Lonchura striata: one gene and its partners. The protein of the gene in region 3 purifies or fractionates together with the protein of the main gene of each other region. This does not show direct contact. Links are inferred from orthologs where the notes say so. Each region holds a gene or a part of one and is shown on either strand. Other genes may lie near its edges.

Region 1 (7,865 bases), on a different chromosome or scaffold from region 3:
GCTGGAAGGCAGTTTTAAGCTTCCCCCAGACAGGTTTGAGCCCTCCTAGGACAGGTTTGAGACCCCCTAGCATGGGTTTAACATTCCCCAGCACAGGTTTAAGCCCCTCTAGCAGCGATTTAAGCTCCCCCAGCATGTGTTTAAGCTCACCTAGCACAGGTTTGAGCTTACCTCAAAGCAAGGCTTTGTTTGGGCTGGGAACATGAAGGGGGCTGGTGGCACTGGGAACATGGGACTGGGAGCACTGAGGGGATTGATGGGGCTGGGAACATGGAGGGTCTGGTGGCACTGGCACTCGTGGGGAAGGACAGCCAGGCTGACAGTGGGGAGTTCCCTTATCCTCACTCCTGTCAGCCCAAGGGGACAGGGAACAGGCCTGTGTTTTGGACTTGGTTCCCAACAGTGGAAGCCAGCTCTCAGGGGATGCAGTTTCATGTGTCCTGAAGGAATCTGTCTTGGTTTTTGAATGCTGCCAGTTTCTGAGGAGCAGCCCCTCCATTTCCATGTGCCACAGCAGCTGGGTGATTTAAGAGGAGAAGAGCTGCTAACCCTAAGCCATCCTCATGTTTTTCCCCGAGGTGTTGAGCCCAGATGCTGCAAACAGGCTGGGTGGCATCTCATCCCTGCCCTCTGATCCCTCCAGTGGGATTGTGGAGCTCCAGACAGGGAGGTACCCAGGGTGGGAGCCTTTTCCCTCAAGGCATGTTGGAAATGATTGCACTGTCCCTCCAGCTCCCAGATCCTTCTCTGCCTTTGTGAGCTTTGTGTTGCCCAAGCTGTGGACATTCCTGACTGTTCCCAGCTTATCCCTGTGCTCTCCACAGGCTCTGGCTCTGATTGAGCTCTACAACGCTCCCGAGGGCCGGTACAAGCAGGACGTTTACCTGCTGCCAAAGAAGATGGGTGAGTGAAGGAACTGACTTTTCCCTGGGGAATCCGTGTGCCAGCAGTGTCAGAAGAACTCAAACCTGGGCTGGGAAACACTTCCAGAGGGACAGTGAGTTCAGGGAGGCAACCAGAGGCAGTGACCTTAAAATACGTGAGGGTTATTTGATTTATCTTTGTTAGTGTTCTGCAGCGTGGGAGGCATCCCACATCCTGCAGCCTTCCTCTCTGGGATTTTCCATGCCCTCCTTGTGCCTTTAGGGGCACGTCCAGCCCAGGCTTGGGCTCAGCCCTGCTTTGGGTGATGGTGAATTTGGGGTGCTGCCCAGCCAGACCTTCCAGTCATCACCTGCCCATGTTGTGGTGGGGGTGTGGACCCCCTGATCCCGTTTTCCCTGTTCCCATTCCCAGATGAGTACGTGGCCAGTTTGCACCTGCCATCGTTCGACGCCCACCTGACGGAGCTGACGGACGATCAGGCCAAATACCTGGGACTCAACAAAAATGGGCCTTTCAAACCCAACTACTACAGGTGAGAACTGCTGGGGCAGGAGCTCCCAGCTCCCCGCTGGTTTGGAGCTCTGCCTCCAGCTCCAGGGTCTCCAACACCACAAGGATGTGGAGCTGCTGGAGCGTGTCCAAAGGAGGCCACGGAGATGCTTTGAGGGCTGGAGCCCCTCTGGGAGAGCTGGAAGGCTCCCAAAAGAGCTTGGAGTCCTTCCAGTGCCTGAAGAGGGCAGGGTTAGATGGGATATTGGGAAGGATTCGTGGCTGTGAGGGTGGGAGGGCCCTGGGTGCACAGAGCAGCTGTGGCTGCCCCATCCCTGGAAGGCGAGGCTGGACAGGGCTTGGAGCAACCTGGGATAGTGGAAGGTGTCCCTGCCTGTGGAATCAGATGAGCTTTAAAGTCCCTGCCAGTCTGGAATCTCTGGGGGATCCCCTTGCCCTGGCACAGCAGCACCTCCCATGTCCCTCACTGTCCCTTCCTTCTCTCCTAGATACTGACGGGACCATTTCCATGAAGGACCAGACCACACAAGGCAACATTTGAGAGATTATTTTGAAAAATCATTTTCATTTTGGTTTACCCTTTTTTTTTTTTTTTTTTCTTCACCACCACCAGAACCTGTTTTTACATTTTATCTGTGACTTTAAGGTCAGGTTTTCTTTTCTCCCCCTTTTCCATGATCACATCCCTGTCTGATCTTGCCAGATCAACCTGGGATTTGCTTCTTGCTTTCATGTGGCTGAAGCTGCTGATTCCCAGCCCTGGCTCCAGGAGGGGCTTTCCCTTTCCTGCTGGGCCGAGGGCACTTCATTCCTGCAGCAATTGTTTATTTTGGCTTTTATTTTGTACTTTTTCCCACCTTTCCAGCCCACATCGGTCTCAGCCGGGCTCCCTGTGGATCCGGAGATGCTCTTCTACCTTATCTTCTATTTCTTTGTGTGGATTATCTGCAACTTCTAAATTGCCTTAAAGAGCCCAGTTTTAGCTGCTAGATCCCTGCTCCGGGTGCTTCCTGGGAGCAGAGTGGCCTGCAGGACACCTGGCAAAGGGGGTGACTGTGCCCAAGCCCAGCCCAGGTCCCTGCGCTGAGGTGGCCCAGGTTTGGTGGCCACTGGCCTGGGTTTGCTGGCCACCTGGGTCCAGGGGAGTTCAGTGTTTCAGGGTGCTAATCTGAATCTGGATGGGGGTCGCTTTCCCAGCATTATCCTCATCTCTCCAAGGTTTTTTGTTTGTTTTTGTTTTTGTTTTTTTTTTTTTTTTTAGCCAAACTGCACCTTAATTGAGTTTTAAACATTTTTTCCGTTTGTTTATTTGTTTTTTTTCTCCCTCTTTTCCTTTTTGATCCTTACAGAGATGTTTCAGAGGGCGGGGATTGTTTTTAGATGTTGTAAGAGGAAGCACTGGGGACGCGGCCGCCTTCCCATCCCCCACTGGGAAGTGCCGGGTGTTGTTGAGGGTGTCTGGGGTGGGTTTTGGGGGTGTTTCACTATTTTATTTTTGAGCTGGATGCGGAGATGAGCCTTCCCCATATCCCAGCCCGGCCCCTCTGCTCCCTGTGACTGTTTTCCTCACCCTCTCCCCGTGTGTCCCAGCTGCTCCCATCACCTCCTCCGTGCCCTCCCTGCTGACATTTCCCTTTCCCAGCTTGTGCTGGGGTTTGGGAAGCTCCTTCCAACCCACTGAGGTTCCTCTGGCTCCTGTTCTTTCCGCACCCAATTGAGGAAAGGAGCTGCTGGCACCTCCTGGGTCGTGGAGCTGCTCCTTCCCCTGTTTGCAGGGATCCACCTGGACGGGTCCTTCCCAGGGAAATGGCAAGTTTTGGGGGGTGCAAAACTCCTTGTGGGGCCAGGGGATGGGAGAGGTGCTGAGATCATCCCCCTCCATGTCCTCTGACTGTTCCTCTCTCCCACCCTGCGTGGTCTCCTCCTGGATAGATTTTGGGGATCACCTGCCTCGCTCCCCCACAGATCCCAGGGATCACCTGGGTCCCTTCCACCATCCCCCAGACCTCCGTGGGGACGGCTTAGCAAGCTGGGATGGGCGTTTGTGGGAAGGATCGGGAGCATTCCCCCTTCCCCGTGAGCCCCCCGCGCCCGGGGGTCCCCGTTCCCACCCATCCCGGGTGGAATCTCGGCCAAGGGCTCTGTGTCTGTATAAGCCATGCTGGGGGAGCCTGGGGGTGATGGCGGCGGCAGCGGCGGGCCGGGAGCGAGAGGTTTATTTTGTATAGGAATGATTTTTAATGAATGCAATATTAATCCTTGCAGATGAGCAATAAATCATTAAAGTCTAATTAAACTATTAGGAAAAATGAAGTGCTTTTGGTTGTGTTCCTCAGGGGCGACCCGGAGTTTTTTCCAAGCCCAAGGGCAGGGCTGGAATCTCCCTTTGGCCATCTTGGGGCAGGCATTGGGTCCCACCAGAATTTTCTGAACGTTGGCACAACTCTGGATTTTGGGGTCTCACTCTTTTTAAAGCCCCAAGGGGCATCTTAGCTTGGGGTTTAAATCCTGTCAGGTTTAACCTCTGAGCCCCATTGGACCCCAGTTTGGGGTTGGAGCCCCCAGCCCCGTCACTGGAGCATTCCTTTGTTCCAGACCCTTCCACTGGAGCATTCCTTTTTTCTAGGCCCTCCAACTGGAGCATTCCTTTTTTCCAGGCCTTCCAATTGGAGCATTCCTTTGCTCCAAACCCTCCAACTGGAGCATTCCTTTGTTCCAGGCCCTTCCACTGGGGCATTCCTTTGTTCCAGGCCCTTCCACTGGGGCATTCCTTTGTTCCAGGCCCTTCCACTGGAGCATTCCTTTATTCCTGGCCCTTCTACTGGAGCATTCCTTTGCTCCAAACCCTCCAACTGGAGCATTCCTTTGTTCCAGGCCTTCCAACTGGGGCATTCCTTTGTTCCAGGCCCTTCCACTGGAGCATTCCTTTATTCCTGGCCCTTCTACTGGGGCATTCCTTTATTCCTGGCCCTTCTACTGGAGCATTCCTTTGTTCCAGGCCCTTCCACTGGAGCATTCCCTTATTCCTGGCCCTTCCACTGGAGCATTCCTTTGTTCCAGGCCCTTCACTGGGGCTCTGCCCCTCCTGCCACTCCCAGCATGGCGCCCTTCAGCCCCCGGGCGCGCCCTGGGCGAGGCGGAAGTGCCACACCCAGCATGGCCGCGCCCGGGGCCGCGCCGCGCCCAAGATGGCGGCGCGGGGGCGGAGCCCTCCGCCCGGCCGTGTGCCGCGCCGTCCGTGGCCGCCGGGGGCGGGCAGCGCCGGCCGTGACGCGGCCGCCGCGGCGGAGCGGCGGGGCCGGCGGGCGGAGCTGCACCGCAGCCACCGGCGGCACCGGCGCTCCCGCAGCTGCCACTCCCAACATGGCGGCGGCGCTGCCCCGGCTCTCCCTGCCGCTCCCGCGAGAGGAGGGGGTGAGTCCTCGCGAGAGCTCGGCGCGGCGGAGCGGCCGCCATGGAGCCGAGCGGCGGCCCCGGGCCGGGCCCGGGCCCGGGGAACAACAAGGGCCGCGGCGGGGCGGCCGCGCCCGGGAGGGGCCGCGACTTGGCCCGGCCGCCGCGCAAGGACTCCGAGGTCAGCGCCGCCGCCGGGAGTGGGGCGGCCTTCCCGGGCGGGGCGGGCCGCGCCGGGCCTCGTCCGGGGCCTGCCCATGGGTGCCGGTGCCCGGGGGCGGTGCCGGTGCCCGGCGGTGCCGGTGCTCGTGGATCCCTGTGGGTGCCAGTGCCCGGGGGTGCCAGTGCCCGGCTCTTCCAGCCCTGCCCGGGACCGGCCCGGCCGCTGGCTCCGGTGCTCCAGTGCTGCTCGCAGGGCCGCCCCTCGGTACCGGCTCCCTGGCGCTGTGGCCCCGGGCTGTGGAGCCGAGAGGCCTCTCCCCGCCCGCAGCTGCCTGGTCTCGGTCGGTGCCGATTTCCCCTTCATCCATCCATCCATCCCTTCCCCAGCTCCGGGCCGCCAGGGTGGCTCGGTCGCCTCTCCCAAACGGGAGTGACAGGGCTGGCCCGGGGTCTCGCTGCCCACCCGGGGGTCTTCTCGGGGTTAGCGGTCGGCAGCAGCCCGGGGTGGGCTGTCGGGTCCCGCTGCCGTGCTCGGAGCAGCGATGGACCCAGCAAGAGGTGACCGACCCCCCCAGGGACACCCGGCGGTGCTGGGGTCACGCTGAGCCTCGGGCTCGCAGGGTTGTGTGGAGCTGAGGTATCCCGGGGCTTTACCAGAGCGTTTCATTCCTGGGATGGCCCTGGAGCCGTTCTCTCCCAAGGCTTCCTCAGAAAAGTCCCTGGAATGCCAGGGGAGGGGTGTGAGGGGGGATCTTGGAGAACCTGAGGTTGGGCTCCCAGCAGAGCAGAGCCAGCACAAGGGGCTTGGAGCTGCCCCTCTCTCAGAGCCTGGACTTCAGGGTTGTTCTGATGTGGGTCTGTCCCTCTGTCAGGAGTGGGAGCCCCCAAATTTAGGAGTTCTGCTTGTGGATTCATTCAAGGGTAGGTGCCCCAAAATTTGTGTGGGTTTGGTTCTGGGTGTGCCCCTTCTTCATGAATATGTGCCCCAAAATTTGTGTGGGTTTAGTTCTGGGTGTGCCCCTTCTTCATGAATATGTGCCCCAAAATTTGGGATTCTGCTGTGGTTTGGCTCCTCACTCAGGGGTGGGTGTGCCGAGAGGGTTCTGGTGTGGGTCTGCCCTGTGCTCAGGTGTGTGTGTGTGTCCCAGAATTCTGCTCAGGGTGTGCCCCTCACTCAGAAGTGGATACCCCAAAATTTGGGCGAGTTCTGGTGTGGATCTGCCCCTCACTCAGAAGTGGGAGTCCCATAACTCAGGAGAATTCTGCTCTGGGTTTGCCCTTCATTCAGGAATGAATGCCCCAAAATTTGGGTTGGTTCTTGTATGGGTTTGCCCCTCACTCTGGGGGGGAGGATTCTGTTCTGGATCCTCCCAGTGCTCAGGAGTGGGAGCCTCATAATTCAGGAGAGTTCTGGATTTGTCCCGTGCTCAGGATCCCGAAATTTGTGAGAGTCTTGCTGTGCACCTGCCCCACTCAGCACAGGGTGCCCTGAAAAGCTGTGGGTCGATGGTCTTGACTTCTGTAAAGGGAGCTGATATTTTGTGCTCTGAAGGTTCTCCTGGCTGTTTTTGCAGCCTCTCCAAAGCTGTTTGTAGTTGTTTCATCCTCACTAATCCCATCTGCTGGGACGGCACAGAGGGATAGCCCAAATTTTCCCAAATTTGTGCAAAATGGGTGAGCTCTGAGAGCTCCTTGCTCTCAGAGAATCCTCTCCCTGTGTCCTGCCGTGTTTGTGGTGCTCTGGGGGCTCCCCCCGTGCTTTGGGGGTGCTGCAGTGGCTCCATGCGGCACAGCCCGTGGAGACGCAGGAGGTGGGCTGGAGTTGCCTCGGTAACGTTTGTGCTGCTGCAGGAATGTTTTTGGTCCCTAAACCAGTAAGACCAGCCCTGGATTTGCAGGAGGATGAGGTGAATTGTGAGTGTTTACAGGGATTTTGGTTTTCCTGGAATATGCTGTAATGGAACTGATTTTTCCCCCGTGTTTTCAGGGCTATTCGGAGTCGCCAGACCTGGAGTTTGAATATGCAGACACGGATAAATGGACAGCAGAGCTGTCAGGTAAGGAATTCTTCTCTGATGGATCAATTAATCCACCATTATTTCCTCCACTGGTAGAATTAAAGGAACTCTGTCAATTCCAGTATCGCTTTAATATTATATTTAAATGCTGTATTGATGTTAAAAAGATATGTGTGGTTCATATTTTTGGCCTTGCACTAGGTGGGGTTTTATTGCATTTTGATATTTTGGCTAAAACTGCAGTTCCCAGCCGAGTTGCAGCTTGGTGCAGGTTTTTGGAGCTTGTCCTCTTTTGGCAGAGCTGTACAGCTACACAGAGGGGCCAGAGTTCCTGCTCAACCGAAAATGCTTCGAGGAGGACTTCAGGATCCACGGTAAGAGCCTTTTTCTGGATTCCTCTGCCCCTGGGGAGGGACAGGGACTTTCCTGGAGAAGAGCCTGGTGTCAGAGCTGACTGGGGTGTGCAGCTACTCCCGAGGGGCAGCTTCGCTCTCTGCTCCCTGTGACAGGGACAGGAGCCAGGGAAGGGTTGGGGCTGTGCCAGGGGAGGCTCAGGCTGGAGATCAGGAAAGGTTCTTCCCCCAGAGGTGCTGGCACTGCCCAGGCTCCCCAGGGAATGGGCACCGAGGCTGCCGGAGCTGCGGGGGCGTTGGCACGGCGCTCTCAGTGACCCGGTGAGATTTTGGGGTGGCCGGTGGGGCCGTGCCCAAAGCCCTGCTGTGGTTTGCAGTGCGGGACAAGAAGTGGCCGGAGCTGGAGCGGACGCAGCACCGCACGCACGCCATGCGCCTGCTGGACGGGCTGGAGGTGACCGCGCGCGAGCGGCGGCTGCGCGTGGCCCGCGCCATCCTCTACGTGGCACAAGGTGACAGCGGCACTGCCCCTGCTCCCCCGGGC
Region 2 (7,623 bases), on a different chromosome or scaffold from region 3:
AGCATTTTTCCTAGCAAAAAAAGTGCCCAAGAAAAGGTTTGGGATTTTTGTTTTGTTTTGTTTTTTGCAACAACTTTTGCAACAACTGATTTTTAATTTTTTTTTTACATAATTTCATTACTTAAAAAAAAAAAATGCTTATCACAGAAAGAAAGTTTTTTTGTTTGGTATTATTTGTTTACATACAGCCCTGTTAGGTGTCCACATTATCAGTGTATGTACACAAATGTAGACAAATACCTAAGAAGAAGCAGTGCCAACCCAAACTTAAACACCTGTCAATCCATTACTGTCCAGCAGGTTCTATAGCAAGAAAAAAGGTTGCCTGTTGCTCCCCATTATCACAGTGACACTGATGACATCAGGTGTTCAACTCTTCCAAGACAATAAATGCATGTGCCCAGTTTCATTTCTAATACTAACTATTCTGGAAGAGCTCTACCTTACCTAAAGAAAACTAAGTTTAACATTTCTATTGTCAAGACTGTTAAACTAAGGAGAACTTTGCTCATTATTCAAAAGCATTAACAAGTACACTGAGAAACAATACACTAAATTGCAATAATTAACAGGAGAGTTTCAACTCACACATTCACACCCCATTATTTTTCTTTTTTTTTAATAAGGGTTCAGATGATGCAAGCTCTGGGAGCAAAGGATTACAGAAAAAAGTTGTGTCCTTTCAAATGGCATAAAAAAATTAAATAGTCGAGGTTGTGTCAAAGCTTTTACTTATCTTCCCCGTCTCCTGTGGCCCTTTGAGCCACATTCTTTTTCCCACCTTTGTACCAACAGCAGCAGTCTGGCTATTCCAGCTCAAGTCTTAAAAAGCAACTAATACACTGCACAGGCAGACCAATTCTCCATCAGGAAGGCTGAGGTTCACGCCCTCAAAACAAACTGACATGTGTTTCATTTGCAGAAGAGGCAGCAAAGCACTTTATTTACTGGAGCATTAGTTACCGGAGCTGCAAGCAGCAGTATCTTGCCATCAGGGAAACGCGGACCAATTACAGTCCCTTGTTTATAAGCAAAAAGAAAAACAACAACAACAACAAAAAAACAACCAAAAAACAAACAAGCAACTAAGCATCTTCATCTCTCCTTCTCTCTCCAAATGCATCTTGCATTTCTACAGTTTAAGGCTAGAGCCTTCAATCTTTAGCCAAGTATTAAGTCTGTGCAAATAATTAGTCCTCCTGGTAGCTAGCACTCACTGCAAAATCATGCAAGCTCAAGATTTGTTTGTTCCACTGACTGCACACTAAAGGGTAAAAAAAGAAAAAAAGAAAAAAGTAGGCTAGTTTCACACCCACATGGGCACTCTCTGATTTCTATTTTTTAAAGTCATACACTTGTCAAACAGGTTATTCTGGGAATTCTGATTTCCACAAAATAAACTTCTCTGCTTTGGTCACTTATTATTGTCACTCTGCACCCCTCATCTCTGCACAGCCCATCAGATGCACACACCCCCAACTCCAGAGCTTCAACACTCACAAGGAAACCGGGTGACAGTTTTAATTATGGCAAATGTCTTTGTCTAAAGTCACTGCAGCAGCAGCAACTTCTATAAGGATTTCCAGCAGCAAAGCTGAATAAGCCTGTGGACGTGTTTGTATAACCGAGCCAGACTCTGACAGCGTCCACTTGGTTTGGTCATTTCTCTGAAAGGAGCACAGAGAAGAATAAGGACAATAAAGGCGTATTTCATCATTACAGGATGGGTACTTGGGAGAGTAATTTGTACCCGTCTAAAAAAGCAGAAGCCAAGAGGCTGACAAACTTGACAAGGCCAGCAACAATGACAAGGGCAACACTTCTACCACCCCTCACTGTTCCGGTTGCCAGTGCGGGTGGCTCGCCTTCAGCCGTGTGCTCAGCCCGGCGCAGACACCGGGTACCCTCTGGAAGATCGGCAACAATAAAAGGAGAAGAAATTCTGACACAAACCTTGTAGACTTGCCCGTACGTGCCATTGCCAACCACTTCCACCAGTTCAAAAATCCCAGCGGGGTCCTAGGGGGAGGAAGGGGCAGAAGGGGCGGGGGAGGAAAGGGGAGAAGAGAAGTGGGGTTACATTTTTGTTCAGGCGATGGCTGCTGGCAGAGCCCAGCCAGCGAACCCGGCTGCTGGCGGCGTGCAGCTGTTGCGCCCTGTTTTTCCACGCACATGCCAATACATGCAAACAAAGGAAAAGCAGCCCAGGGCCGCGGTCCCCCGCCCGCCCCCGCGGGAGGGCTCCCCCCATGCGGCCGCGGCCCCCGCGCCCGGCACCGGCCCCGGGCCCGGCCGCTCCCACCCCACCGGCCGCGCAGCCCCGGCAAGGGGCGCGCCGACCCCGGGGGGCCCCCGCCCCGGCCCCCGGCACCGGCACTCACCCGCAGGGAGGAAAGGTCGATATCCACCAGACTTTTTGCAGGAGAATCGTTCGCCATTTTCCCGTCTCTTCTTTTTTTTTTTTTTTTTTCTTTAAATATTTTTTTCTTCTCTGTTAAATAATAGCGAGGCCGCTCCCCCCTCCCTGGAGGAGCTGTGAATTGCGCGGAGCTCCGCTCCTCTCCTCCCTTCCGCCCTTCTTCACTCCAGCCCCGCTGGGTTGAAACTCTTCAGCATTGGGAGGGGTTGGCGGGGGGGGGGATGATGGATAGATAGATGGATGGTGGGAGGAGGAGGGAAAGGGAGGTGAAGGAAGGGAAGGAAGAAGGAGAAGGGGTGCTGCGGTTTGTCCGTCCGTCCGTCTCCCCGCGCTGCAGTGCGGGGCTGGATCCCCCCGAGGATCCCGGCCGGCCGGTCGGTGGCTGGGCGGGTGAGTCGGTGGGTGCCCGCGCGTCCCCGGCGGCAGCGGGCTCACACCATGTCGCGGCGGCGGCGGCAGGAGCGGCGCCGGTGCCGGCAGCCTCTGGCAGCCTCACGATGCGCCCCGCTCCCTGGCATGGCACGGCACGGCTCGGCCCGGCCGGCGGCGCTCACGCCGGGAGCCGGCAGTGGCAGCCGCGGCCCCGCTCTCGCATGGGGGGGCGGCTCACGCCCAGCGCCGCGGCGGAGCCCCCGCCGCCTCCGAGCCCTCCCCGCGGCGCTGCCCTCGCATCAAACGGCGCCGGGCACCGGCGGGCAGCGGCTGCGCGTCCCGGCGGCGGCGGGGCAGGGGCGCGGGGCTGGAGCGGGGTGCTGCGAGCCAGACAAAGATAGCCGGGGAGGAGGAGGAGGAGGAGGAGAAGGAGGAGGAGAAAAAATATACTGCGAGCGGAGAGAGAGAGAGAGAAGAGAACAGCTCCCCCTTCCCTTCTCCAACAGGAAAAACCGGCGGAAACGCGCCCGCACCAGAGCACTGCTGGGTAAACTCGCGGGGAGAGAGAAAGAGAGAGGGAGGGAGCCAGCGGGCGGGGAGGGAACCGGCCGCGCAGCCTGCCCGCCCCGCCGCCCACAATAGCCCCGCGGGGCGGGGGCGACCCCGGGCGGCCCTTCCCCGCCGCACCGGCGCTGGGCCCCGCCCGCGGGAGCCCCACGCGTGCCCGGGCCCGGGGCAAGGACGGAGCCCTGCAGCCCCCGCCGCGCCTCTGCGGGACAGCGCGCTCCGTGGGGGCCTGTCACGGCTCGTATGCACCGTGTGGTGGGGATATTTTCCCATCCCCGGTGAGATGACCAGCAAAATGTCACAGTTCCCCCCTGCCTCGAGATCCCAGGCCCACAGGAAAAAAAACATTATGTCTCATGAAGAGATTTCTACAGAAAGACGGCCAAATCCTGGCCCACAGAACCAGACCCATCTCTCATATTTTAACACATCGTTTACTGACAGAGCTGTCTCAGGCCCCCTTCCCGCCCAGAAGAATCCTCTAGCAGAATTTGAATCGTGGAAAAATCTCATTAACCTCACTTGAGCAAGACACATCAGGCAGTTTGACACAAGTGTAAACCTTGGCAGGATTTGTTTCTCATTGAAGTTTTTTATCACACTGATATGGCAAAAGTGTTACCTGCTTGCAAGAGGTCGAGTTTCCTGTGGGAATCGGGGTTTTCCTGTCTTCTAATTTAACCACAAAATTACATATACATAGCTATAAGTATTACAGAAACATACTTTTGAAACAAAGCAAACCTGTTGAGCAGAAAGTTTAAGGATAAATTACCATAACAGTTTAATGGCATACTTCATTTTCACTTTAAGTGTAGATACAAAGAAAGGAAACTTCAGCCTAGACCAGGAAACTTCATTCTCTGTACAGGAACCTATAGTTAGGAAAAGGCAAGTAATTTCAAATGTATTTGATGCTGTGTCTGCCCAAGTGCATGCACAGGAGTAAGATCAAGTCTAGAGATGCAGTAGGTTTTGAAAAGTGTATTTCTACAAAGATTTATTATCATTGGTCTGGTTTGCATTACATGGTAACTCAGCCTTTTTATGTGTAAGGGAAACCTTGGTAGGTCAGATCCATTTCCTGTCTGTCCCAGCATCCATCTCCAGATTTAGCCAGTAGTAGACACTGAGAGAAGATCACAGGGATACTTTAACCATCCAGTAATACTTCCCTGGCTTATTTTACCAACTCTCTACAGCTCAAGGAGCTCTTTAGCAGCATTTGGTGTCCCTGCATTTTGTTTTTTTTAATTGTGTTTTCCTTCCATTAGATTGGCTGTTTACTTTCTGGATTCATACATGCTTGTGGCTCTCGCAGTGTCCTTTGGCAGGGAGTTCCAAAGGTGAGCTAACATGTTGTGTGGAGAGCACCTTTTGCTAAACTAAAAAAAAAATATCCTGCTGGTTCTTGTTTTGGAAGAGACACCAATCGTTTCCTATTCATTTTCTTTATTATGTTCATTTTTTAGACTTCTGGTGTGTTTTCCCCTTGGTTTTTGCCAGCTAGTAAGTTCTGGTCTTTTTAGTGATACCACAAATGGAACTCATTCTATATTTGTCCTTCATTGAACCATTTCTAATACCTTCCTTTTTGACATGGGTAAACAGATTTCCATCTCATGTTCATGCTGGCTTCCCCGTGCAGCATCATTGTGATGTCCTCGTTTCTAATCCGCTCCTGATCCTTCCCTTCTTCACTGTTGGGTATGAATATGACATTCCTGTGGCACATGCCTATTATAACTCCAGGATCCCCTTCTGTAATGTTAATACCACCTCAGAGACTGTTGTTGTGCATTTCTGAATGCTGAAAGATTTTCAGGCCCAAATTCTGAATTCTGAGTTTTCCAAACCCAGGACGTAACAACTTCCTTGTGCCTCTGAAAAGTACAGGCCAGGATTTTAGAGATGAGGATCTGAGCCCATATACACATTTTCACCATTCATATTTTCACCAACAGATGTCATTTCACCAGACCTCTGATGTGGCTCCACCACAGTGTTCCCTCTCTGCTTTAAGTTTTTATTTTATTAGAGTGAGTTCAGTTCTTTGGCATGTTTTTGTATTACACTAAAGACTGCTAAAGTGCTAGCAACAAGATTGTGAATTCTTGAAAAGTAAGCCATCCTCTATCTTTAGGGGAAAAAATAGTTTTCATAAAGCAGTAAATGCTTTATGAAGAGAGCTTCCTGCTAGTTCCCAGAGTGAAGCACCACGATGCCTCAGCTTCCTTTTTCTTCTACTCAAGTGAAGGGATGAAAAGCTTGCTTTTTTGAGGAAGAAGCCTCTTCAGCTGTGGCCAAAACCACTCTCTTCACATGTTCATCATGCTCTTCACCAGCTCAGTGTACATAACCAGTTTGAAAGTCCAAAGGTTGAAAGACCAAACCTAAAACCACTGGAAAGAAGAAGAGCAATCTGTTTTAACTCTTCCTCATAGTGAAACCAGCAATGCTGAAGTGAGACAGAGTGAGACAGCCATCAAAAATCATAACGAAGACTAAATGCAAGGAAATGCATTTTCAACCCTGTGGATCGTCTCCCCACAGAGCACACATGGTTTTTCTAATGACAAACTTCAGAAGATTTATCAAAATATCTGAGTCCACTGGGGAGCAAAGCAGGAGAAAGCTGGGACCTGTGTGCTGCTTTCCATCACCCTCAGACACAGTTGCACCCATTCCTGCTCAAAGTGCTCATAGCAGTGAAGGGAACAGAGGAGTTGAAGCTCCCTGAGCAGTTTCAGTATCCCTGAAAGAGGGGTCCTGAGCTTCCCTTTCTCTGACCATTTATTCCTATTGAATGGTACCCTTGTGTGGATATGAGCATTCCTACAGCTACATAGTGAGCCAGGACTCATAGCAAAGCTAACCCACAAAAGGAAAATAACTTCTAATGTTATTATTGATCAATTCCTTGGGCTGGTTCATCACGTGTCTCCTTGAGCTGATGTGTTAACAAAAGGGAAACCGAGGGGTCAGAAACTAAGTGGAGGGCAGGAACTGTGACCACAGCATTGCCTCTTGGTTGCGGCTGTGGCTTAAGCCAATTTCAACTCTCAGTGGACCCATAGGGGTAAAACTAGAGAAACTTCCTTCCTTACTGGAAGAGACACTGTGGGAGTGATGGGAACTCAACATTTATGTTGTAGCCACAAAAGAAATTCCTTGCCCTCTATTTTTTTTCAAGTTATTTGAAATTGTCTTTGTTCTATAATTTTCCACTTCTAATATGCCAGGGCTCTAATCACTGACCAGAGATGCAGAGGTCATCAACTGCACTAACTTTTTATGAGCTTAATCATCAACAGTATTCAAGAAGATGAGTAAAGAGACAGGAAGTTCTGAATTTTCATTTTGTTCTACTACTGATTCATCCTATAGCCTTGGGGCATCTCATTTCCTGCTTCCACTCTCGTTCTCTATGTGGAAAATGGGAGTGATTTTGACCTCCTTTATAGTGTGAAGTATTAGACATGTACCCTGTCATACTCTGGGGAAATTGTTCTCTCCTTGGCTGAAACAATCCCTGAGGGAGGCTCAAGCTAGGGTGATAAGTAACAGAGGACAGGGTAGTGAGTGGGGCTGAGTCAGGCTTTGCATAGTCCAGCTCTCCTGCTGCACATGGAGCAGAAGGAGGCTGGGAGACTTTTCCTCATGCTATTTATTGCAACACATACTGGGAGTAGATCAGTTACAAAAGGATGCCATACAATCAGCCTCCCTCTAGCTTAGGCTCCTCTCCTCCTCTGCTGTTTCCACCACCCCTATCTCACACCTCCATGTGAAAGCTGCTCTGTGTGATCTCTGCAGGCACACCCAGGTTTTCTCATGCTGCATCTTTACAATGTCATATGGGGTGGACATGTTCCTGCAGCTCTGATTGCCCAGTTGCGCACACACTGCTGCTGGTGACATCCTGCTGCTTCCCGCTCCTCAGGATGCTGCACTGCCTCCCACACTGATGGGTTTCCCTCATTCCAGCATGCAGGAATCAGGCTCAGGCACATAGCCGGGCCCAAGCTTGGGGATGCACATGTAGATGATGATGTAGGTGACATGAAGATGCACAGGGCCAGAAAGGAGCAGCTTTCCACCAGCTGTACTCTTTGAGGCCATCACTGCCCACACCCTGGCTGGCTTCCTCTGTTAGCATTTTGGGGACTGGATTGAAAGGACTCCTGAAATACAGGGGATGTCTAAATATAGCAATCCTGCTAGTGCAGGAAGAGTGGCAAAGTGAGTCAGAGCCTTTCCACAGC
Region 3 (7,910 bases):
AAGGAAACACAAAATCATAAATATTATTATAGATTAACACACTCTCAGAATTCTTGTTGACGTGTGACAGTTCTTCTTTTTAAGCATGTTAAGTGGTAGACCCCTAAGAGGTAATTATTAATCTTGCACATCAAGAAAGCTCCGAAAGAATTAGCTACATAGAGCAGCTGCACTCCAGCCACTGATGATGTAAAAATGAGCACAGTCACAATCCTGTGCAAGCTCAAGCAATGACAGCTACACAAGAAAAGCTATGAAAAGTACCAGCAAAGTGTCTGGATCCCAAATGTTTGAAATCTTAATTTGAAGACAACGTTTTAAGGTGTAATAAATTCCATTCAACTGACATGACAAAGTTACAATTATCTATGTTACTAAACTGATTTTACCAAGCTACGCCATCTGACAAGGGAAATGGCAAACTCTTCAGCAGCTGTGTTGGAAAAAAATTCTATTTTCAACTTTGCCTTGTTTCCCTCCTCATACACAGTACTATTAAAAAAAAAAAAAAAAGAAAAATTAAGAACTCTGTTACAGCTAAGCCAGCCATTTTCAGCTGCCAAACTGAAGTTTAGTTCCATTTTAGTACCAGGAGACTGTGGATCATAATTCATCTAGTTAAACTGAGGATTACTTGTTGACATCAATTTTGAACAGCCCAAAATAACCCAGTCTTCAAATTTGGGGGGAGGAAAGGGCATGAGATTATTAAGAGAACTGGCAGTAGCAGTTTAAATGCTGCTTTGCTGTGATTAGCAGAGAGCACATCACGACAAGGAATGTATTGATCTGAAGTTGTGCTAGAACCGATATGACAAAGAGAAGCTGGAAAGAGAAACATTATCACCCAAGTTAATACCACATGAAGGAGCCAGTAAATCTCACTTTAAAGTGCCTGAGAGAACATTTGATTATTTGATTGACTGTATTAAAAATAACCTCCCATTCAATCAGTGAAGTATTTCCTACTTACAATTCTGATTTATTTACAGATCCTTCTTGCAAAGGGCACCAAAGATGAGTGGGAATTCCTGTCCCCGAGGAATTTACAGGTCAAACAACATACAATAAGAACGGCCACACACAAGCTAAAAATGTCCCCTTGACCCATTCTGAGCTGGAATTAGTCTCCAATTAAAGTCACGCTTCTGTGATGAACCCCGTTGACGTTTTTGTGCCACTCAGCATTCCAATTACATTAATATTTGTAATTATACTTCTGAGAGAATGCTAATAGACACAGCTCCACACGAACAGCTCACGGCCCCGCTGGTGTCACCCCCACCTACTCGCCCTTGCTTAAGCAGCACAAGGAAAGTAAAGCAGCAATTTCTTTCTCCTTCAAGAGAACTACACCACACAATTAGTTTCATAAATCCCACGAAATGCAAAGCATCCAAAGGCTTTATTCTCTTTGAATGCTGTGAGGGGCTTAAACCAGAGGTGATCTTTGATGTATGACATGATGCCAGCCTCCACATGCTGAAACACCAACTCAGCTTGGCCTCAGAAGAAGGGCAGCAGAAGAGTTCCAGAACACCTCCTGCTGCTCACCTGTCTCCCCCTGTTTGAGTAATTACTTAAAAAGGGGGGGGGGGGAAATAAATAAGCCTCACAAATATATTCTGTGAGACAGATAAGCAGATGGAAAAACAAACCTGATTACAGCAGATCTCTCCTGAACTACTCTTAAAAGGTTCTGCTCACAACAGTGACCTCTGAGAAAGAGGGAGTAACTACACAGAAGACATCCCACCTTTCAATTTTTGCCCCAACAAACACATCAAAGCATTAAATTCACATGGCAGCTCCACCACTTGTGACACGGCAGGCAGCTGGTGAGCAGAGACTGTTCAAGCACAGCACAAAGCCCGTCAAACAACGTTTGTTTACCACACCAACCCCCAAGAATTCCAGAAAAAGTTGTCATTATCGCCATCGCTGAAAGCCACCGTGGCAGCAGAAAGTTCTCAGCAGGCGGGCTGTGCCAGCCGTGCAGGACACCCGGATCCATCTCCTCCATCACTTCTCCCACCCGCTGCTCCCAAGGGAGCCGTGACTGATGTGGGGACAGGCTGATCCTGTCACTCCCAAGGAAGGACTCACAGACACATCCAAAGGACTCGCAGACACATCCATGACCTCCGCAGACAAGTTTATCTTATCCTGCCAGGAAGCTGCTGCAGTCTGGGACTGTGGAAGCAGACAGGGAGGCGCTGGCAGCGTGGATTAACCAAGGTCTGCCTCGCTCCTTAATCCAACTTTCCTGATTTTTGTTTGGACTTCGGTTCCCAAAGACGAGCCCGATTTTGAAATACTTCCCACACTGTACTTTAAAAAGCATCCACAATAGGTGATCACAGAATCACAGAATGAATCACGGAGCGGCTTGGGCTGGAAGGGACCTTAAAGATCATCTTGTTCCAACCCCCTGCCATGGGCAGGGACACTTTCCACTATCCCAGGCTGCTCCAAGCCCCGTCCAAGTTGGCCGTGGACACTTCCAAGGATGGGATAGGCAATACCATGTTAGTTCTGCTACCCAAAACCCACAGACACAAACCATCAGTGCCATCACCTACTCCAGCACCGCGTGCGGATCCACAGCGGCACACGCGACCACGAACAAAACCAGAGCGGGAGGGAGGCAGCGCAGGCACGATCCCACCGGGCACACCGAGGCACCACAGCCCGGGGTCCGGGAGGGAAAACCCGAGTCCCCGCCTTCGCAGCGAGGCTGTGCCAGCCTGCCTTCCCCCAGCAAACCCTTCCACGCGGGACACGGACACAGCGGGATCGGGGCCGCGCTGGAGGCGCCGATCACCGCGGGTCCCGGCCGGCCCCGGCTCTGCTCGCCCCCGTTCCCCCCGCGCCCCGCAGCGCTGCCCGAGGAGGGCAGCGAGAGCACAGGGCTTTACCTCTCCGCCGGGATCCGTCCCTCAGTCCCTCAGGAACACGCTCTGAGCACTGGGAGCCGCCTGCGCCCCGCGCCGCCCCCCCCCCCTCCCGCGTTCCCCCCCCCCGCCCCCCGCTCACGACATGGTCTCTCCCGAGGCGCCGCGGCTGCCGCGGCCGCGGGCGCTCCCACTCGGCGCGGCGGGGGGGGGGAGGGGGGGAAGGCTGTGCCCGCACTCCTCTAATGGCGGCGGCCGGAGCGGCCCAAAGCAAAATAAACCCCCGCACGGCCCAGCTGCACGTCAGCGCGGCCTGCCGGCCCTGCGCGCCGCCCATTGGCCGGGCCCGCTCCTGCCTTCCGCCAACCGGCGGGCGGCTCTTTGCGCAGGGCGGTGATGTCATCGCTGCCGCGGGGTGCCGCGCGCAGGGCGGCCGCCAGGGGGCGCCTCCCGGGACGGCCCCTCAGGGCGGGTCCCGAGGGAGCCCAGGGGCGGCTCCGCCACCGACCGGCCCTGCCCGGCCCTGCCCGGCCCGGCCCGGCCCTTCCCGCTCCCTGCCGGGTCCCGAGGGAGCCCAGGGGCGGCTCCGCCACCGACCGGCCCTGCCCGGCTCTGCCCGCTGCTTCCCGGCCCGGCCCGGCCCTTCCCGCTCCCTGCCGGGGCCCGAGGGAGCCCAGGGGCGGCTCCGCCACCGACCGGCCCTGCCCGGCCCTGCCCGCTGCTTCCCGGCCCGGCCCGGCCCGGCCCTTCCCGCTCCCTGCCGGGTCCCGAGGGAGCCCAGGGGCGGCTCCGGCCCTTCCCGGCCCTCCCCGCTCCCTGCCGGGTCCCTCGGCACGCTTGGGGCGATTCCAGCCCTGCCCGGCCCTGCCCGCTCCTCCCCTGCCCATTCCCGTGCCCACACCCCTGCCCCGCACGTCTGAAACGTGAAATTTTAAGGAATTTAAGAGATTTTTAGAGGAGCTTATATTTTTAGTTAGAGATAAGCCTCACTAGAGTTAATTAAATGAGTAGGCCTCGATGAAGTGAAGAGTTAGGAGTTAGCTAATAATTGGTGGCTTGTCAGCACGATGTTCAGTTAGCTGGGTTTATAGTGAGGAGTATAGGAACTGACAAATAGGTTTTAGGAATGCAAGACAATTGTGGGCCTCCTCTGTTCTGAAGACAAGGAATGGGAGTTCTACCAAGAGTTAATTTGTCATGTTTGCATTGAAAAGGTAGAAAGGTCAGAACAAGAAAGACTTCATTGACTTCCTCATTTTGGGACCCCCCCCCATGAAAGGGACACCGACCCATTTCAAGGAACAAACCACGCATGCTTAATAGCTTTTGAAATTATTAGCATAGGAAGCGAGGAAAGGGATGTACCAAAATGATAAATATGTATTTGCATTTTGGGTATTCAATACTTGTATGGATAAAAAGGCTCTGTAATCACCTGGAAGCTGCGGTGTGGATTTGGGAGCGATCCTGCACACAATAAACACACGCTTTCTAACTTTACACGTTAGAGGGTTTTTGTCCATCACAGATGGACATCGGAGGTTCCTGTGGGAGTAATCCCTCAAAAAACCTCCTTAGGATGGCACGTGGCCAGGCAGCAGCATTGGTTTGTGGCAGCTGATCCCAGAGTCACTGAGGTTGGAAAAGCCCTCTCAGCCCATCCAAGCTGTGCCCAATCCCCACCTTGTCCCCAGCCCGGAGCACTCAGTGCCACATCCAGCCCTTCCTAGTTCACCTCCAGGGATAGGGACTCCAAACCTGCCTGGGCAACCCCTTCCAATGTCTGATCACCCTTTCTGTGAAGAAATTCCTCCTAATGTCCAACCTGAACCTCCACTGGCTGCAGCTTATGACTCTGTCCTTTGTTTCTTACCAGCACTCATTGAAATATTTCGCTGTGGAACAACTGAAGGAATTGATGGGAATCCAGAATCCAGCAGGTGCCATGGTCAGGTTGATATGGTGGTGTTGGGTCATAAGTCAGACTCAGTCTCAAAGGTCTTTTTTAATCTAAATTGATTCTGTGAAATAAATTTTAAACACTTCCTCCACGTGTTAATTCCAGCCATTTTGACCCAAGACAGGAATGTGTGGGATTGCAGTTCAGGATGGAGTTCACCCTGCCCAAAAAGACTCATCCAAGCAGCAGCCCCACAGTGCAGAACCCATTTATCTTCTGAGAAGAAAAGACCAGCAACAACAGCTCTGCCAGCCCTTGGGTTCAGTCCTTGTGCTGGCTTTGCAATATTTTTTTTTGCTTTCCACACAAAAATTGCGAGACTGCATCTTCCTTAAGCTGCCCTTGTAGGCTCACTGACAGAAAATGTGTATTTTCCACATCCTTGTTTTTCCTTCGTGGGTTTTACATCTTTTGATACATGATATTTTGTTCCCCCCACTGCATTTACTACTTTTTATTTCAGGCTTTCTCAGATGTTTTAGCACTTTCTTATTTCCATGGTTTCACTCCCCATTCCCAGACTCTGGTAGACAATGCCTTGGGCTTGGTGTTGAATTGGGAAACTCGTCCTGGACCAGCTGGATCCACCCCTTCTCCCTCAGACCATAAAGAAAAGCACCTGAGATGTTCCAGCAGAGCAGTGCTAGAGAAAATCCCTTTGTCCAGAAAGCAAACAACCAGGACTGGAGTCAGGACAAGTAAAATGTAATTACTTATGGAGACTGAAATAGAAATTTGTCTTCATTTGCAATTAAATTAGTTCCCTATAAACATTGAGAACTGTTGCAGGGGGAAGGTAATGTGATTTCTCTCTCCCAGACTAATTATTTACTAAATTCTCTTTCTGACTCCACTGAACAAGTTGGTGCATTTCTCAAAACATAGCTGTAGAAAAAAGGGGGACAATTTTTTTTTTTTTAATAAGACTTGGATAAGTCATGTAAAATAAATATTCCTTGTCATAAGGAATTTTACCATCTCTCAGCTTAGAAATCATCCAGAAAATGAAAATGTATCCCTTGCTCTTGGCATCTAGGCAAGATGATGGAAGAGATGTTGGGGTAAATTCTAAATGCTGCCTCAACTGTGCAACAATGGCAATGTCCAGAAATAACTGTTATATATTAGACTGCATAAAAATATATGAAAATACAAGGAACATCTTAGAACCACAGACTCACAGAGGGGCTTGGGTTGGAAAAGGGTTATAACCAACTGAAAAAATATAATTCCAAAGAATTCTGTGATTCTAAGAGATTTTAATCTCTGCAGAACAGAAGCATTCAGAGTAGTGAAAAAGGTCCCTGGATAGTATTTGAATAACATGTGGGCAAATTGAATTTGAAAATATTTACCAGAGCAAAAGCAAATTCTAGGCTGCATGTCCCAATGACCTGATGTTTTGATGTTGGTGACTTTATTGCTAAGGCCATGTCTCTGGCTTTAGCTCAAAAATCTGCTGGTGTCTCCTTCCAGGTTTACCCTGCAGGAGTTTGCTATTTGTTCTAGACTTAAACAATAAAATACAAGAGGAATGACCTTTCAGCAGGTTAGAACATTGATATTTACACATATAATTTATCCAAGAAGAGCTTTACAACTTCTAATTTGGAGACAAATCAAAATCTACATGGCTTGATAGTCCAGTCCTCAATAGATTTGGTATTTGATTATATTTTCTTTTTTTAAATGTCAGAAAGATAATTCTATTTTTGTCAGAGGTAGCAGAAGTTGTAAGCAAGTGCTAATTTCCTATATCCACCCAAAATTTTCATTTTCTTTCACCAGTTTAAGGAGAAATTTTAACTCCCTAGGAAGGAATTTGGAACAGTCATACTCATTTGACAGCTGAAGCTGTTATTTTGGGAACCTCCCTTCACAGAGCTGGATGTGCTCAGGCCTTGCAGCTCGTGTGCCTTCACACAGAAGTTGTACAACTGCCCCTTGTGCCTCACAATAAACCCACAGCAGAACCATGACATAAAAATATCATTTGCACATATACGTGCTCCAGCTTTCTCTTTTCCCCACTTTTCAAACACCATAAATCCCTGTTCTTGTAACTCCCCACCTTCCTTTGCCATCCTAACTCCAATCTCTTTTCTTCCTGTTCCTCCAGGACAAGAACTGACAGTAAATCTCCTTGTCAGAGCTCACAGATTTGGTAAAACCCAAGCAACGTGCACAAATGCTGTGATTTTGCAGGATTATCCAGCTCAGGGCCCCGCTGATGCCCATCCTTGCCAGCCTGGAGCTGCCCCAGCAGCCTGGAACCCTTTGTGCCTATGAGGTGTGAGCCTTGCAGGCAGCCAGCGAGGCAGATGGCTGGGAAGTTCCCTTCCTTTCCTACAAAGAATTTATAAATTTAGGATTTTTCTGGTGCAACCCTGACTTGCAATTTGCCACTGTCTCCTATGAAACTCGAGCGCTTTGCCTTACAAGATGCCCTGATTTTTTACAATCCTGATGCTTGCTGTTAGTAAAAGGCCTTTCCCTCAACCCTCCCTGACGTTTCTGTTCTGATTCACCCTGTTTATACCCAAGCAAATGATACCCAAAGCTATAATTAGCAAGCAAGCGTTGAAACATTCCACAGGAGCACATTTGTTGCGTGTAGTAGCTGGAGAGACACAGCGACACAAAACTGTGCTTCAGGTAAGCAAAAAAAAAAAAAAAAACAAACAAAAAAAAAACCAAAATCCTAATTATTTTCTGCTGGCATGGAGTGTTTTTGTGCTGCAGCAGAATTACCTCAGCTTGAGTGCAAAGATTACATCTAGTTAGTGATGTCTAAGTGCAGATCCTGCTCTTATGTAATTCTCTTTACCCTGGTAACTCCTCGCTCTCAGGCAGGGCGCTGGCTCCCATTAGGAGATTCATCCTCAGCTTATCCAGGAGCAGGGATGTACATGCTCACCAGATGGTTATTTCTCACTAGCTGAACTTTGGATATGCAGAGCTCCCTACTCAACCAGCTCCTCAGATCCTGCTCTTGCCATCACTTCATCCTCTGTTTTCAGGAGCAAGGAAGACTAGCAGCACTTAGATAAATGGTG

Evidence for each region. Proteins that work in one complex are often made in the same cells at the same time.
Region 1: the proteins of ZRANB1 (region 3) and STRIP1 purify together in Homo sapiens (affinity purification with mass spectrometry; 4 studies listed by BioGRID and IntAct, with this or other methods). This does not show direct contact. The link is inferred for Lonchura striata from reciprocal best matches to the Homo sapiens genes ZRANB1 and STRIP1.
Region 2: the proteins of ZRANB1 (region 3) and MAP4K4 purify together in Homo sapiens (affinity purification with mass spectrometry; 3 studies listed by BioGRID and IntAct, with this or other methods). This does not show direct contact. The link is inferred for Lonchura striata from reciprocal best matches to the Homo sapiens genes ZRANB1 and MAP4K4.

The regions. Positions count from the first base shown.
Region 1 is NC_134632.1:1,223,113-1,230,977, forward strand, and holds the start of STRIP1 (striatin-interacting protein 1), read left to right. Parts: upstream 1-4,849; coding exon 4,850-4,969; intron 4,970-6,740; exon of another isoform or gene 6,741-6,803; coding exon of another isoform or gene 6,804-6,857; exon of another isoform or gene 6,858-6,864; intron 6,865-6,937; coding exon 6,938-7,007; intron 7,008-7,267; coding exon 7,268-7,342; intron 7,343-7,698; coding exon 7,699-7,833; intron 7,834-7,865. Other genes in the region: AHCYL1 (S-adenosylhomocysteine hydrolase-like protein 1), read left to right, coding at 825-903, 1,297-1,417, 1,884-1,890. UniProt on the Homo sapiens protein: Plays a role in the regulation of cell morphology and cytoskeletal organization. Required in the cortical actin filament dynamics and cell shape. Part of the striatin-interacting phosphatase and kinase (STRIPAK) complexes.
Region 2 is NC_134604.1:87,603,747-87,611,369, reverse strand, and holds the start of MAP4K4 (mitogen-activated protein kinase kinase kinase kinase 4), read right to left. Parts: upstream 3,017-7,623; 5' UTR 2,439-3,016; coding exon 2,382-2,438; intron 2,020-2,381; coding exon 1,954-2,019; intron 1-1,953.
Region 3 is NC_134609.1:29,350,683-29,358,592, reverse strand, and holds the start of ZRANB1 (ubiquitin thioesterase ZRANB1), read right to left. Parts: upstream 3,014-7,910; 5' UTR 2,919-3,013; intron 1-2,918. UniProt on the Homo sapiens protein: Ubiquitin thioesterase, which specifically hydrolyzes 'Lys-29'-linked and 'Lys-33'-linked diubiquitin. Also cleaves 'Lys-63'-linked chains, but with 40-fold less efficiency compared to 'Lys-29'-linked ones.